3 linked regions of the Neodiprion lecontei genome follow. The main gene of each other region encodes a partner of the protein of the gene in region 2 in a complex. Links are inferred from orthologs where the notes say so. Each region holds a gene or a part of one and is shown on either strand. Other genes may lie near its edges.

Region 1 (5,307 bases), on a different chromosome or scaffold from region 2:
TACTTCTTCACGGTCGAGTTCGGCTTGTGTAAACAGGACGGCACTCTCCGCGTTTACGGTGCGGGGCTTCTGTCCTCCGTAGCGGAGCTGAGGCACGCCGTTAGCACCCCCGAAAAAACCTTCAGATTCGAGCCGGACGTTACCTGCAAGCAGGAATGCATCATAACGGCCTTTCAGAACGCCTATTACTACACGGAGAGCATCGAGGAAGCGAAGGAGAAGATGAGGTATGACGCCGCGGGTAACCCGAGCGAGGAACCTAGCTGTGAGAAAGACAAGTTTTATTCCCGTTTTTCAGAGCCTTCGCTAATCAGATCCAACGCCCGTTCGGCCTACGTTACAACCCCTACACTCAGTCCGTCGAGGTTTTGACGGATGCGCAGAAGATCACGGCTCTCGTCAGCGAACTGCGCGGCGACCTCTGCATAGTCTCGAATGCTTTGCGCAAGATTCACGAACAAGACGAGACGGTCGACGTCGAGAGGATCACCAGTCTTCTCACCCAGGGGATCGACGTTCCCCAAGAATCATCCGATAGCGATGAGGACGACAGGAGCCCCAACGTCGACGAGCCTCGAGGAGGCCGGGATGATCAGAATGAAACCGACGCCGAGTTTCATCCGCATCTGAACCTTGCTTCGCGGCAGCGCTAAGCGACCTTTCCATACTCACTGCAGCCCGTTGACAATTTTATTCGTGTCTGATTGATGTATTATTTATTTCGCATGTCAGCGCTTTGAGCTAATTCTATAATGCATAAATATATTGCGTATAATTGTAAGTTATGATAGTATCTGGAGTTTTTCGTCGATTTTCGAAACACGACCGGGCAGATTGTCAAAGTTAGAGTGCAAGAATCGTACGTTCCTCAAGATCGAATCGATGTCCGATCATTGATGAAAAATTCCATATGTTATAACAGCGTAGAAAAAAATGGCACCACTGCATACAAACGAATCTCTATGTCTGATGATAAATAAATCAGACGTGTGTTATTACATGTATATCGAACAATATCGTTGTATCCATGAATCAGGCGTTAATAGAGTCGCGATGTAGTAAACTATTTAGTAATAAATACAATGGGTTTCAGTGTGGAAATAATTTTCATTTCGTTATTTCTATTCGTTGTACGCTCAAAAATGTCGGAAAAATGTATATTCTGTTATTTTCGTACCGAGCATCAAGGGGTCATCGATTAAAAACAAAATTAGATCTTTTAGACCATTACAAGAATGAAGAGTTATTAATGTGTCAATTTTTCTTCCTCCAATCGAATATTACGTAGTGCAACTCGTACGACGATGAGACGGTATTTTTGAATCATTGAAAATGGATATTCATCTAGCAACGAGTGAGTTAAGAATTATAGGCACCGATAGTCACTTTGTGTGTAAGAATTAAGAATGAAATCAGTTTACTCTACATAATATGCAAAGTTTACGAAATATGTGTTGTGTGCTTTCCAATAAATACTGTCAGTTCGACTTGCAACCAACTTCATGTAAGTTAAGTTCGTTTATTATTTTCTTTATTTCCTTTATTTCTTCATATATTATAACATCTATTTTCATCATCCACCAGTTTTCGGAAAATAAACAGCAAAAATAATCATCCGATCGGACAGTATACATTTATCTAACCATTTTTCTTTCGACAAATGATTTACTGTTAGACAACTCCGTTGTTGCCTTCAACAATTCGCAGCGGCATTCCCGCGCGTCAAATTCAAATTTTGAAATTCGAACGTAACGTTCGCCGTCCATCTGACCGGGTTGTCGCAGTGGCGAAAAAGTAAGTGATCTGCCACTTCGACGTTTCGTTTATGACCAAATGATTTTACAAAGTGAAATTGAACCAAAGTCAGCAGCGGATTAATTAGATGTACGCGAAATGGCATCGCCAAGCCCGAAATCGCCTGAACAATCCGAGAGAACGAGAAAATACGACCGTCAACTAAGGTGAGGTTATGTTTATCGCACGATATTTCAGGTTATGCCTAAAATGAATTATGACTTCTATCCTGTGGCTTAATTTGGTAAAATGTAAACTCGCCTCTGATTCATATGTACGAATTGCTCGGTAAATGTGCACATTTTACTGAATTGAGAAGCAGCATCTCTCGGATGATCCTTTAAATAAGTCATCGCTTCAAATAACAGGTTATGGGGGGACCACGGACAAGCTGCCCTCGAAGGAGCCCACGTCTGTTTGATAAATGCAACCGGGCTGGGTACCGAGATCTTGAAATCCCTCGTCTTGCCTGGTATTGGGGCATTCACAATAATCGACAGCAAGAAGATCAGCGACGATGATATTGGAGCGAAGTCAGTCCCTCATTCAATTATTTGTTTGTATTTTCGATGCTAAGATTAAAGTTTGGTCACTCCAGGGAATGCGTGATACAGTGAACATCGCATTGTAATTAATATAATTTCATCAGTTTTTTTCTAGATTCAGAGAGTGTTGGAAAATCAAGGGCAGAAATAGCTACTCAAGTTCTTCTTGAACTAAACTCCGATGTACGTGGCGATTACGTCGACGAGGGCCCTGAGCAAATCTTATCAAATAGCCCGGACTTTTTCAATAATTTCACCGTCGTTATCACTACTGCACTCCCAGAGAAGTATGCATCAATATTTTGCTACCTTTTTTTGAAGTGATGATCATCATCCATATTTTTACTATATCTTGTTGCCTCCAGGAGTCTAATTCGCTTGTCAAAAATATTGTGGGACCTGGACATCCCGTTGATAGTCTGCCGAAGCCTGGGCTTTATCGCGTACATGCGAGTTCAGACCAGAGAACATACTGTCATAGAAACTCACCCGGACAACGAGACACCTGATTTGCGATTGGACAATCCGTTTGAAACATTGAAAAATCATTTTGATTCAATAAATTTGGACGAACTGGACCTGAAGGATCACACTCACGTTCCATATGTTGTGATTCTGTACAAATACCTTGAGAAGTGGATATCTGAGAATGGGGATGTACCAAAAAATTATAAGGAGAAACAGCAGCTAAGAGATATGATCAGGAGTGGTATTAGAAAAGATGAGCACAATAATCCTATTGATGAGGAAAACTTTGAGGAAGCAATCAAAGCTGTTAATACCAGCGTTGGACGTTACGAGGTACCTCCCAGCGTCATGGAGGTCCTGAATGACGATTGCTGTATAAACCTTACCGCCAAGGTAGTATCGTTTCTTTTTTGTTTGAGCACTTCGACACATTTCGGACAAAACATAATGATGAAAATTTTAGAGTAAACCTTTTTGGATTATCGCCAAGGCTGTAAAAGACTTCATGGAGAATGATGGTTCAAATTCATTGCCACTCAAAGGTGCTGTACCAGACATGACGGCAGATACAGAAAAATATATATCCCTGCAACAAGTGTGAGTGTACGTGAATTTAATGTAAGTGCCGAACGGACATCTCAATGTATAATAAATTTCAGGTATCACAAACAAGCCGCAGCAGATGCGGAAGCAGTTTGGCGAAGAACAGTCCATTTGCTCAGACAGATTGGTCGCCCCTCGGATGCGATAACAGAAAAAGATGTCAAGTTATTTTGTAGACATGCTTCTAACATTTACATTCAAAGGGGATCCTGTATAGCGGATGAGTATGATCCAAAAACTGTGGATGCCAGCGAAATGAGTACGCCTTACTTTCATTTCATTCATATTTTACTTTCAGCTGTATATAGCTCATGTAAATAATGTTGACTCTTTTAGCTCAAAGTCTAGAAAATCCTGAAAGTATGATGGTGTACTACGTGGTACTCAGAGGGATCGAAAAATTCCAGGTGGAATACAATTCGTATCCAGGCGAATTCGACGATCACGTTGAACCAGATATTGTGAAACTTAAGGTACTATTTCAAAGCCTAGCGTAGAGCAAAGTTAAAATTTGTAAATAGTAGAGTATGTTTCAACTAGCGATAACTTATCACATTTGGGATGTGTGCGAACAGAATTGGGATTAGATCCAAGTATATTCTTTATAATCGTTTAATTCTGATTCTCGACAACACAGGAATTTTCAAATCTGTTTTTAGGGCCACCATACCAATAGAAACAAAGCTTTCATAATATCTAACATATTTCTACGTTTGTATGTGTACTCAGGCCTGTATTTCAAAATTGCTGATGGAGTGGGGTTGTGGGCCATTGGCAAAGGATGACTACGTCCATGAATTTTGCCGTTACGGCGGATCTGAACTACATTCGGTGTCGGCGTTCTTAGGAGGGCTAGCTGCGCAGGAGACTATAAAATTCATAACTAATCAATGCAAGCCGATCCACAACACTTTTATATACGACGCGGTAACGTCAAATTCGGCTAGTTTCTTTATTTGAATAGTAATAGAAAATTTGCAATACTATCGCGTAATACTATAATCACGTAATCATGAAATAAAATTCACTATTTCCATACAACTTGGCTAAGCATTAAATTACCTAGTCTGCAACACACGCCAAAAGATGAATGAATATCGTTAAATTAAAAATACGAAAATGCTTTTGTGTATAAAAAAGATTTGATGATTGATTTTTGACAAAAAAAAAAAAAAAGAATTTCATTTTATTATTACGTCAGATAAGGCTTACAGGCTAACTTCATGTCTGTGAGATATCAACGTTTTTATCGAACTTAAACTAGAATGCATTGGTATTAGACTTGTTTAAGAATATAAAACGTTGGTCAGTGGTGTAATTCACCGAGGTGCGTGGGAAGAGAAATCGCAGAATACAACACCTCGTTACGTTTCTCAAAAATCATCAATGGATCAACTATTTCAAACACTATCGCCTGCCTCTTCCTCTGCCACGACCTCCACGTCCACCTCTAGCGCCACGTCCACCACGGCCTCTTCCACGAGCCGCACCTAGTACAGAAAAACAAGGATTAGAAATCATCGATATGTATTAGAATACTATTGCAAAGTCTGGATTGAATGTGTCGAAAATTGAATCAAGGAAGATTAGTCACAGAAAATACTAAAACATAAATAAAATTGATCATAAAGGCCGCAAAACTTGAATGACTATAAGGACCTCGTGCGGCTTCTTTCTTCTTTGCTTTAGCCTTGGGCGTGTCATCGATAAGCAGAGTTTCCAAGGGAAGGGAATCAGGCAGAATGTAGTATCGAATGTTGTTTCCCCTCAAACTCAACGTATCGAGTTGTACAGGGTCTCTGTTCTTTATCGTCATCTTCACAGTTTTCAAGTGGGTGTTCATGGCCACATCCACACCTTAAAAATAAACATTTTTGTCATGCATCTGCAAAAACTA
Region 2 (5,655 bases):
ATCAATGCCTACCTATGATTTTACATTTAGCTTGATAACATTTAGTTGGAACATCGTAGCGTTCTCACATGCTTGAAGTTGGACATTCCGCTAAAATTAGCTGCCCACATTTAGCTTCATTTCAATACATTCAATTTTTGACCAAATTTTAGTCATGCTACATGTAATCTCTTATACTTTATTTCGTATGGTAGAAAACCCGGTGTATCTTCTACGAATGTATTTCTGCCATTTGTATGGGATAATTAATAATTAATTGTTTGAAAACGTTTAATCCAGCAGTTTGACATTCATCAAATTCACGTCCTTCATCTAGCAGTGAAAACAATGTCATGCAAAATCTATTAATCGTAAAATTTCACAGAGAAATCAAGTTTTATTTTTACTCTGCTCTTTTTTACAATTCGAGAAACAATTTTTCCGAAAAGTAGACGAGAAAAAGAAAATTCCTTGTCGCTGTAAACAAGTGTTTGGGGGGGCATCCGAATTACCAAGAAAAATATGAAATTTATGAAATATTAATATTATGTAATAACTAATAGTTTTATATAAGGATGATAGATAATGTATCTATGTTATAGATATTTTTTCTACTCGAGTTATGCATATTGTCGGATGTTAACGAGTGTACTTGTGAAACCAAATTGTCTTGAGCTGATGTGCACGGTCCTTCCTCAGCTTGAATTTTTTCAAAACTAATCATGTGGTCAGCTTGTCATTTCTAATTTTGGTTTATTCTTTAACATGCTTAGAGCCGTAATTTGAAGACGTTGAAAAAAAAGTTACTTCATCTGACTACAAATTGAACTTGAAGCCATTCTGTATTCATAACTATGGATCTTTGTCACATTTATGCTTGAAGGGATGCGGAAACCTGCAATACCTGTCATTTGAAAACTTTTTTAGTTTTGCTTCTCAAGGAAAATTACAAAAATTCGTTACTAACAATTACAGGCCACACGTTTAACTATTCGATAATTTAACTCACAAATAAATTTTACTACTATTAGTAATCTATAAAATAAAAAAAAAAAAAACATCCTACTTTTTTAAAGCCGAATCTCTTGTACTTCGACACTAGAATGTTGCCAGGAAGAATTGCCCAGTGAAATGGAAATTTTCATCACTAATTTATCGATGGATCTTGTCAATTGCCATCAATAAACTGTGCAGTGAGTTTGATCATGTCTGTACTTTTTTTTTTTTTTTTTCGTACAACCAAATCTAGTGGATGAATGGAATGAGATGGGAAATGTTAAGTGCAGGAAGGACAGTGCGGTTCGCCCGTATGGCAAGCAAACAAAAAAAAATACAAAAAATTCTACAATAGAAAAAAAAGTAACAAACAAACCTGGTGATGAGCGGAATAAAATAAAATAATATGACAAGTGGATATTGATCCAAATGAATGAAAGTATGTAGGTTTTGCTAGATGCGTATTTTACCTGACCAAGTAATTATTGTATATGGTCATTTTTCATTTTCGTGTAGAAACATAAAAAATTTTCAAGCGTAAACACCGAACATGCTGTTGACAGTAAGAATACTAAAGCTAATGAATCATAAATCAAGCAATTTACACCTATTATTAACTTTTATTAACAATCATTTTTATTCTGTATTACTTGTTGGTGATAAGTTTGCTACAAATCTACCACCTCTAAACCGGGGTGAGGATAAAAATACAACAATTTAGAACAGTATTTGTACTTATTACCTTTACGTTTTCTTTCATTTTTCAAACTTCTATCAAAAATGGGTGCCATAAAAGTATTTTATAAATTTAGACAAAAAATATATAGGTATATATACATACACGTATATCTTGTATCTGGTAAGTGTAAACAAAAATTACTCTGCAATCTAAGTGTAATGTGATTTCTTTTTTTATTTTTTACAAAAATTTAAGGTTTTTAATCAATTTACATATAAATATTTTAGGATTCAATGTATAGATAATATTTCTCCTATCATATGATTATCATGTGCACAAAAGCTATCCGATGAGAGCTATAGCATGTCTATATCTGTAGTACTAGTTGAGAATTTTAGTTTCATTACAACTGTATTTGGCGTTGTACTGTCAGCCACCATTATTTCAGATCCATTTCTTAAACCCAATTCAACAAGGGATCTGTTCAAATTTTCTCTAGTCTTCTCCTCGATACTAGCTACTGTTTGCATGTAAAGAGTTTTGTTTTTTCCATTGACATTTGCAGTTATACCAGGATTTTTCATCTGCAGATCAACCCTCTCGCATAAAATTGCTAGCAAATCTTTCAGCTTCAGTGTCGAATTACTTATTTGTATTTCTCTTGGGATCTGGCTGCAAGCTAGACAATCTTCCTTCTTCTCAGCTTCATATGTATAAGTGTAAATACCGTCCAAATCGTTCAATACCTAAGAAAGTTGAGAGCAAATATTCGAATCTTGCTACATAAATGGAGTATTAGGAGCTGAATGACACAAGTAAGAATCTGTTCATTAATTACCATGTAATTGTTCAGCGATGAACAACAACTGGTTGCTAGTTTGAATACTTCTGTACTACATGACGCAGCAATAACTGCATTGGTAGATGCAACGGCGGGAATAATATTTTTAACAACACCTTGAACTAGTCTATACGTCAGGCCTTGAATACTGAATTGAACAGCCCTTTCGTTTGATTTTTCATAGATCCAATTTATATGCTGCGGATCATCCCCGTCGATAGGGCAATCAAATGGGTTTTCTTTTGGCCATTGCATTACTTTTACGTACTCTATGCAGTGTTCGGGTAAACGTGGTGTGTTTGCTATTGTGCAGAGCGGATATGTAACCTGTTGAACAAGCATATTCCTGTTTCAGATTTCATGTCTTAAGGAATCTGACTTCAAAGTTTCTTGAATGTTGGAAGAAAAAATGTCTGTTATCTTAATGAAGTATAGGATGAAATGTAGTAGTGACATATAATATTTGAGAAGCAATCCATGTTTTGGAAAGCTTTACCTGTGGAGGATAAAGATCTAATGTACACTCGATACAGGCAGTCAGGCCAGGCAAAATCACCCTGGCATTTCCTTTAAATCCTTCCGTACCTCCATCTATCATTGGAATGACACTAGACTGATCCAATTCTCCATCTTCGTAATTTAACAGAGATATCAACATGCCGTTAATCCATCGTCTGGCAACAATAGAGTCCAGGCCTGAGATTACGATGTGAAATTGTCGATAGAACGCCTCATCTTTGTCTTGTATTTTACAAAAGTGAGGTATGACATGGCACCCGGGTATTCGTGTGTTTATAAATTTTGCTGCAATCTCAGCCTTTGAGGCGCCGATATCTTTCTGACGGAACAAAAACTGCCTGTTTGTGATAAACGAAAGAAATCTATTATAAACGAAGAAAAGATGATAGCTTGTTATTTCAGAATTGTGGAAAAAAACATATTCATAGGTTATCATACGGTATCTACCTATTGAGGTTGGAAAGTTCAATAGTATCCATATCGATTAAATGAATCTGTCCGAATCCCATCAACGCCAAATCTTTGAGAAGTTCGCAGCCTAATCCTCCTGCTCCGATAACTAATAACTTGCAATTTTCGCTTAAAAACTGTAAAGTGTTCGGCGAGGGTTCAAAGTCGGGCCTGCAAAACGGCCCGGATCTTTCCAAAACCTTTCGCAAGTGACACCATTTTCTGTGCGCGTAGTCTGAGCCCATTTTTATTCTTAATAATATTACAATAATTGAAGAAAGCTACTGTTTTCAACAAATGTATTTCGTCGAAGACTCCCTGATCTTTTAAATTACTTGCGGGTTTTCAGGATTTGAAATGATTCGAGTGAGCTTTGACAACTGGTCACAGTCACGGGTGATCCGTTGGATCTGCAACACCATCGACACCAAAGATCTTGTTGCGTGGCTGCAACAACGGCGTAAAAATTCGTTACGCGCATCGTGATCTATTCAATCCGCATAGTCTATGACCGAGGGATAAATAAATATAAGCACTGAGCTCTGAATAACAGTCGACTAGCGGATCTGTGTACGAATTCTTTTCCCCGGTTATACGAACAAGCGTGATTAAACAGCAGTTATCTCATCTCCCGCGTGTTGAAGTGCAAGTTATCAATACTGTATATCGTGAATGTTGAAATAGGAAATTTATATACATCGATGAAAATATTTTACGTTGAATCAGCAACGGTTTGTGTCAATTTCTTAATTTCTTGTATCCTTATAGGGAAATGTCAACCGTCCCATGTTGCGTAAAGTGTCAAGTGACGCTTGTCCACTTGCGAAGACATAAAAAATCGATAACAAAGCATGCTTGTTTCTTCTTACTGTTCGGTTTTCCGACACTGTCACGATACATTTATTACACTTATTGCCTAACCGGCGTGCGAGAACGCTAATTACTTCAATTGAAGTCATCGGCGTGTCAACACGGACAATTTATTCTCTCCGTTATTATTTAACGTCACGAAGCTTTACGTCAAACCCAGTATACAATATAATTAAGCGGCTCCACGCTGTTTATTAAACCCGGCTTTCCTCTCTTGTAGGAAGAAATATTTCAAAAAATATACGAGACATGCATCGGTTTAAGGAGAAGCTAAGCGATATGCTAGAACACGAAGGAAAGGAAGATTCTCGCAACCCTTCAAACACTAACGCGATCGACATTCGAGCCTGTTATAAGCCTAGCGAACGAGTGAGAATATTTTCCCTACAGTACAAAAATTTTTCCTTTGCATTTCAGTTATTGCTATTACAATTTACTGCAGTCATTCAAATTACGTGATTATAGATAATTTTACAGCCTTCCGATCGATCATTTTCCGTTACATCTCTGCTTTGCTCCCGCGTTTTTCGCTTAAGCATGTGTATCACATTAGATTACATTTAATTCTAATCTCTCCCAAGTAATTTTCCAATTCAGAAGTATAAACAGTTTTTTCACACCTGATTTCCTATCCGCTCCGTTTGCAGTGTTTAAATTGGTCATCAACTGTTTACACTGGTATGTACATATTTTGAAAGAAAAGCATGTGATCCGTAGGCAAATTTATATCAAGATTTATTGGTCAGTCGCAACGTCAATATTTTCCTTAAACTCTGTTTTGTAAGAAAACAAAAGCGAACAAAGTTTCATTCATAGCCTATGTCGACTTAAGTTTCACGAGGAACGCGGATAAACACCGACGGCTTTGGTACAATTTTACACGGTCGGTTGAACGAAAAAATCGATGTTTTAATCCAACCCAACGACGACTAAGAAATTTAGTAGCGTCGAGTCAAAAATGTAACGAATTTTTTTAATAAAAAAACTTTCTCCCTAGCTCGTAAGACTTTTACCACGGCGAGCAGCGAGTTGCAGAGTTCGATGACCTCTTATCTCTTCGTCACGTTTCGCCGGATACAATCGCGAATCATTTCCGTGTACGGGAAGACTCGATGATCGGTTATACCGCAGACTGTGGTTTCACGTCTCGAACCAAACGCGACTTGCAATAATTTTTTAACCACATTATTTCCCCAGAGAAAGAATCTGCGAATATGCGCAATCAATCGCTCTAGATCCTGTGTAACTTAGACAAATAGGCCTAATTCTAGAAGCGATTATCGGAAGGAATAAAGATAACGTATTTCGGAGACGCGCCGCG
Region 3 (4,169 bases), on a different chromosome or scaffold from region 2:
CGACCAGTTGTTTTGCATCCCATATAAACTCGGGGGTTCTATTATCTAGCAATCATAGAAGACTTTTTATTGAGATTTGTATGGGTCGCAACCTACATACTGACGCAATAAAGATATGTCCGGTCTGAGCTGATTACTTCTATCGTCGCTCCTTTGGAAGTATTCAGGTAAATTTTTATGGTTCATAAAATTGCGCTACTTTAGCTCGATGTACAAATCACACTTTCGAAAGATAGTTAAAATAACGTGCGATGTTTTTAATCATTTTATTTCATCGACGATGTAGAAGATGGACAGGTCCACCTTTCGGACATCCTACTTTGAAAATTAATGCAATCGTACATTCGCCCTTTTTTCTATGTAAATATTCTACTCAACTTTTACAGTCCCCGCTCTTTGAAAACTCAAAGTCTTCGTTACATCCCGACCATCGACCGGTTGTTTCGCACCACTTATAAACTTATATTCCAGCTACTAAAATAGCCAGCACTGCTTTCAAGGTGTCCTTCTGATCGCTATTGAGAAATTCGAAACCTAAGATCAGCAGCTTCCACCTTATTGCATCTACCCACTTTTTAAAGCTTGTGCAGTTGCTGTTATTTAAACGACGCAAACTGCCTGTCAAGGAAATTTTTGGTTTCTTCTATTTAGTGAACTATACATTGTGAAGATTTAAGTAAGTTTATTAGCCAAAAGCATAAAATACTTGATGGATTAAATGTTTGGAGGCCTGGCAAGACGTGAAGAACGTAAATATGTATAAAGCAGACACACAGGTAACCGTTAGAACACTGTGTTCTCCTCCATTTCTCCAGTCTCTTGGTATTTGTCCTCTAAGTCTGAGTCTTTGCAGGATTGTATACAGCATTGGTGAGGAGGCGGTGTATCACTTGAGACACCGTTCAAAATAAAATGACCCTACGTATCCACCTCGCATTGCTTTCACCACATTCTGTTCGAATACTCTTCGATTATTTTGTAACACCTCTGCCGCATCTTTGTTTAAAGGATCTTCAGGATTCGGTTCCTAAGTAAAGAGAAAATGAAGAAAAAATAAACAAACGAGAGGCATAAGAATAAAATTGTAAGATTTATTCATTAGTACAATCTAGTTAAAAAAAAAAAAAAGCTCCAATGGACAATAAAAATAAAATAATGATTCAAAAGGTGCAACCGAAGTTGATTCGAGTGAAACTGAATTGAAACCTTGTCGACTGAGAAGTTCAAGGAAAAATCTTCGGTAGATGATTTGTGGGAAACTTATTTACATGCATAATATATGTAACAAATGTACCATAAGATGTGCAATAATCTGACTTTACTAAATCTGTTAATAACAGTTTTTATCCGAGAGATTTTGTGTGAACAAAACATACTTTGATCGACTTCAGTTGCAAGGTTGAAACTATTTTAACTTATCCAATTTCTTTGGTTCGATACTTTTCAGCCTAAAATATTTGCCCAATATATTGTCAAGATGTAAGTTTTGGAAATACATGAAAGTAAGCACATTGAGTTCAGAGACGCAAATTCAGAGTGTTCAATACTTACCAGAAAGAGATACTGAAGCCCGTAGACAATCGAGTTTATTGTCAATACAGGTTTCCAATCTTCTCTAAGAATATTCAGGCAGACATTGCCTTCCAGGTCAATGTTGGGATGATAAACCTGCGTTTCGCACTTTACTTTAGGTGGTTCGTGTGGATAGTTTGGACCGACCTTAAAACTGAACACAAATCTTCCGCCTTTGTAGAAACCCTAAGAATAATTATAATGCGAGGTGAATACTTTGGCTCATTTGTCAATCGAGCGACGAACAGAGAACAGAAGGAGATACAGGCATGAGCGATCTGCGCTGAAGTTAGCACAGCTTAAAGAATCGCTACTAAGTTGCTGCAGTAGAAACTTGACTAACTGAAATTTTGGTACGCAACAAGTAGCGACAGGATGATGAAAACAACTGAGAATTTCTGAGTGGTAAAATACGTACTTCGTCAGGGCAGATTATTAGTTTAAAAGTCAACAGGTCATCTGGATCTGGAAATTCTGTGCCGCATGTTTTTGGCAGGTTGAGTTCGTTTATATCTGAAATAAAAATAAGGGAAAGATTATTTTAAATATTTCTTTCACAATCGTATCCCGTTATGTGATAAAAAAAATGATAAATCGCAACCTTTCGTGATCCTTAACTGCGCTGCTGAGGCCTTTTTCTGAGTTCCTGTCCTTGGTGATTCGCCATCTTTTTTCGCTTGTTTTAGTGAAAATAATTTAATCATGTTAGATTCTAAGTTCGGCTACAATATAGCGAGGCATACAAATACTTTTTAAATTCAAGCAAAATCACAGAAGATTAAAAAATTGGAACCTACTAATTTTTGACAAGGGGGATAACTCGCCTTTCGGACCGTGCTCTCCCCTGGCTATATTCACGCTTCGCGAATATTCCACCATATAGTTAAATTCACGTCTTTTTAACCACAAATACGAAAATTAATTGACCTTGATCACTTTCGCCGGCTATTTTCTGCTCACATTTATCGCAAAAAATCAACGCGATTCCGTCGCGAATGGCCAGATACCTTGTTGAAGGCTTATAATTAAAAATTTTCACCGTTTAACGGCTGAACGCTGAAAGCTGGTAGATTGGTTCAGTCGAAAATAGCGCCACTGCGACCATCTCCTCATTGGATAAAAAATTTTTTACTCCAAGATCCGTATTTGAAGTTGTTCAGTGAACGTAGACACTTTGGCGATGCGTGGCTCCATAGACTTATAAATAATACTAACAGCGTGAACTCCGCTTCTAAACATCGCCATTGAAATCTCTGTTACTTTGACGTTGAGTAAAAAAATAGTGTAATAAATTCGCGTTGCGTAGACAGTCTTGCTAGTCCACGTATGCATGGAATAGCGTGGCCATAAGCAAGGTCAAAAAGGTGTAACGAATCTAGCAGCCGAAAATAACGTACGAAAATGACGTACAGCATGTTTACTCTTCTACATATATCATATATTGGCACATATCTGTAGGATTGCATTGTTTTCGCAGAGTAGACAGTTATAATGACCAATCGCGATGGCGTTAGGTAACCGCTTCTCTCACTTTCATAGGTTAATATTTTAACATATTTCTTCGAAACAATTGATAACCGTTCATATCTAATAAATGGTCAAACTAGGGTACAGATAAGATTAAACAAATGCAATAATATATCAAATTGTGATCCGCTGTAAGAGACATTCAAATCTTAAGCTCTGTTCAAGATTCCGCGCAGTCACGTGTTTTTGAGTGAAGTCTGTCGCACCGTGGTTGGGTGAACCTTTCACTGTACGAAAAAAAGAAGAAAAAAATAATATATATATGTTCTTTGACATCGGTGCATCGGGAATTGTCGCGGCGATGAAACGAAACGATAGTAGAAAGTAACTGTAATAATGATATTGTAGAGTACCGATGTTTACAGTGTTTACGTAGAGTGTGTAATGTGTCAGTGATAATCGAAATTTGCACAACGATGATGTGGTACGTGTAATACGATATATACATGTATAATATCGCCTTTGTCAATCTATACGAATATTTATTTAACGAGAGATGTTACTATGAGTTAATTGCACTCGATTCTTAACGTTTTAAATTGTTCGAAACGAACTATTTATGATCTATTAATTCAGCCGGAGTCTGTTTAATGTGGCAACCGAATCAGGGTAAATATTTAATTTTCCATAACGCTTAGCCACGGTCGTTGATAAATCCGTTGATAACGTTTTAGTGCTCTATAAAATAAACTAGGGATTGTTGCAGCGTTTATTAATTCATGTTACTTGCCCAACTTCGCAACTCTCCTCGACGAGTTGTTGTAAGTACGTTAAATTTAGTTATAAAAATAGGTTTAAGATTTCACATAATTTCATTTGCTATCATATTCCTTTGTTGCGCTAATCTTTGACTTGATGAAAAAACTTACTATGACAATTTCTTTTACCATTTTGCTGGCATGCTCGATCACTGAAAATACATAAGGATGAAGTCATCAACGTACCGTTACTGTAAAACGACGTATGTTCAGGAAAAATGATTTTCCAAAGTAAATAAACCATTGTAAACAAAATATATTAGTATTCTGAGAAGCCAACTCCTTGAAAGTCATTCTCAAATATCTCAGTGA

What was found.
Region 1: the proteins of NEDD8-activating enzyme E1 catalytic subunit (region 2) and NEDD8-activating enzyme E1 regulatory subunit are in contact, whole or in part, in a crystal structure (PDB 3DBR), measured with the Homo sapiens proteins. The link is inferred for Neodiprion lecontei from reciprocal best matches to the Homo sapiens genes UBA3 and NAE1. Residues at the interface, in NP_003959.3 of Homo sapiens: Trp34, Glu35, Gly36, Arg37, Trp38, Asn39, His40, Lys43, Phe44, Glu46, Arg47, Ser48, Gly49, Pro50, Phe51, Thr52, Phe56, Glu83, Lys86, Asn87, Leu90, Ser91, Val106, Ser107, Leu109, Asn110, Arg111, Phe113, Leu114, Arg116; in NP_003896.1 of Homo sapiens: Glu10, Gln11, Lys12, Tyr13, Asp14, Arg15, Gln16, Leu17, Arg18, Leu19, Trp20, Asp22, Glu44, Lys47, Asn48, Leu51, Pro52, Gly67, Glu68, Ala70, Gly71, Asn72, Asn73, Phe74, Phe75, Gln77, Arg78, Ile81, Phe92, Glu95.
Region 3: the proteins of NEDD8-activating enzyme E1 catalytic subunit (region 2) and NEDD8-conjugating enzyme Ubc12 are in contact, whole or in part, in a crystal structure (PDB 2NVU), measured with the Homo sapiens proteins. The link is inferred for Neodiprion lecontei from reciprocal best matches to the Homo sapiens genes UBA3 and UBE2M. Residues at the interface, in NP_003959.3 of Homo sapiens: His53, Pro54, Asp55, Glu61, Ser62, Phe65, Cys70, Gln149, Asn152, Asp153, Thr154, Arg157, Gln158, Phe159, His160, Ile170, Arg173, Trp174, Ser181, Leu182, Leu183, Asn184, Pro192, Ile195, Val196, Pro197, Leu214, Met217, Arg254, Met255; in NP_003960.1 of Homo sapiens: Lys3, Leu4, Phe5, Ser6, Leu7, Lys8, Gln9, Gln10, Lys11, Lys12, Glu15, Lys21, Gly22, Ser23, Ser24, Lys25, Lys26, Ala27, Gln31, Leu32, Gln35, Lys36, Ile38, Asn39, Glu40, Phe51, Ser52, Asp53, Pro54, Asp55.

What each region holds. Positions count from the first base shown.
Region 1 is NC_060261.1:43,619,186-43,624,492, forward strand, and holds NEDD8-activating enzyme E1 regulatory subunit, read left to right. Parts: upstream 1-1,759; 5' UTR 1,760-1,893; coding exon 1,894-1,961; intron 1,962-2,162; coding exon 2,163-2,327; intron 2,328-2,443; coding exon 2,444-2,626; intron 2,627-2,704; coding exon 2,705-3,200; intron 3,201-3,270; coding exon 3,271-3,404; intron 3,405-3,466; coding exon 3,467-3,669; intron 3,670-3,746; coding exon 3,747-3,883; intron 3,884-4,008; exon of another isoform or gene 4,009-4,139; coding exon 4,140-4,370; 3' UTR 4,371-4,774; downstream 4,775-5,307. Other genes in the region: tryptophan 5-hydroxylase 1, read left to right, coding at 1-227, 299-653; probable small nuclear ribonucleoprotein Sm D1, read right to left, coding at 4,818-4,900, 5,070-5,267. UniProt on the Homo sapiens protein: Regulatory subunit of the dimeric UBA3-NAE1 E1 enzyme. E1 activates NEDD8 by first adenylating its C-terminal glycine residue with ATP, thereafter linking this residue to the side chain of the catalytic cysteine, yielding a NEDD8-UBA3 thioester and free AMP.
Region 2 is NC_060260.1:9,429,500-9,435,154, forward strand, and holds NEDD8-activating enzyme E1 catalytic subunit, read right to left. Parts: upstream 3,901-5,655; 5' UTR 3,710-3,900; coding exon 3,462-3,709; intron 3,353-3,461; coding exon 2,992-3,352; intron 2,823-2,991; coding exon 2,493-2,822; intron 2,401-2,492; coding exon 2,011-2,400; 3' UTR 700-2,010; downstream 1-699. Other genes in the region: coronin-2B, read left to right, coding at 4,584-4,703. UniProt on the Homo sapiens protein: Catalytic subunit of the dimeric UBA3-NAE1 E1 enzyme. E1 activates NEDD8 by first adenylating its C-terminal glycine residue with ATP, thereafter linking this residue to the side chain of the catalytic cysteine, yielding a NEDD8-UBA3 thioester and free AMP.
Region 3 is NC_060266.1:5,034,712-5,038,880, forward strand, and holds NEDD8-conjugating enzyme Ubc12, read right to left. Parts: upstream 2,417-4,169; 5' UTR 2,277-2,416; coding exon 2,174-2,276; intron 2,086-2,173; coding exon 1,991-2,085; intron 1,759-1,990; coding exon 1,552-1,758; intron 1,028-1,551; coding exon 887-1,027; 3' UTR 666-886; downstream 1-665.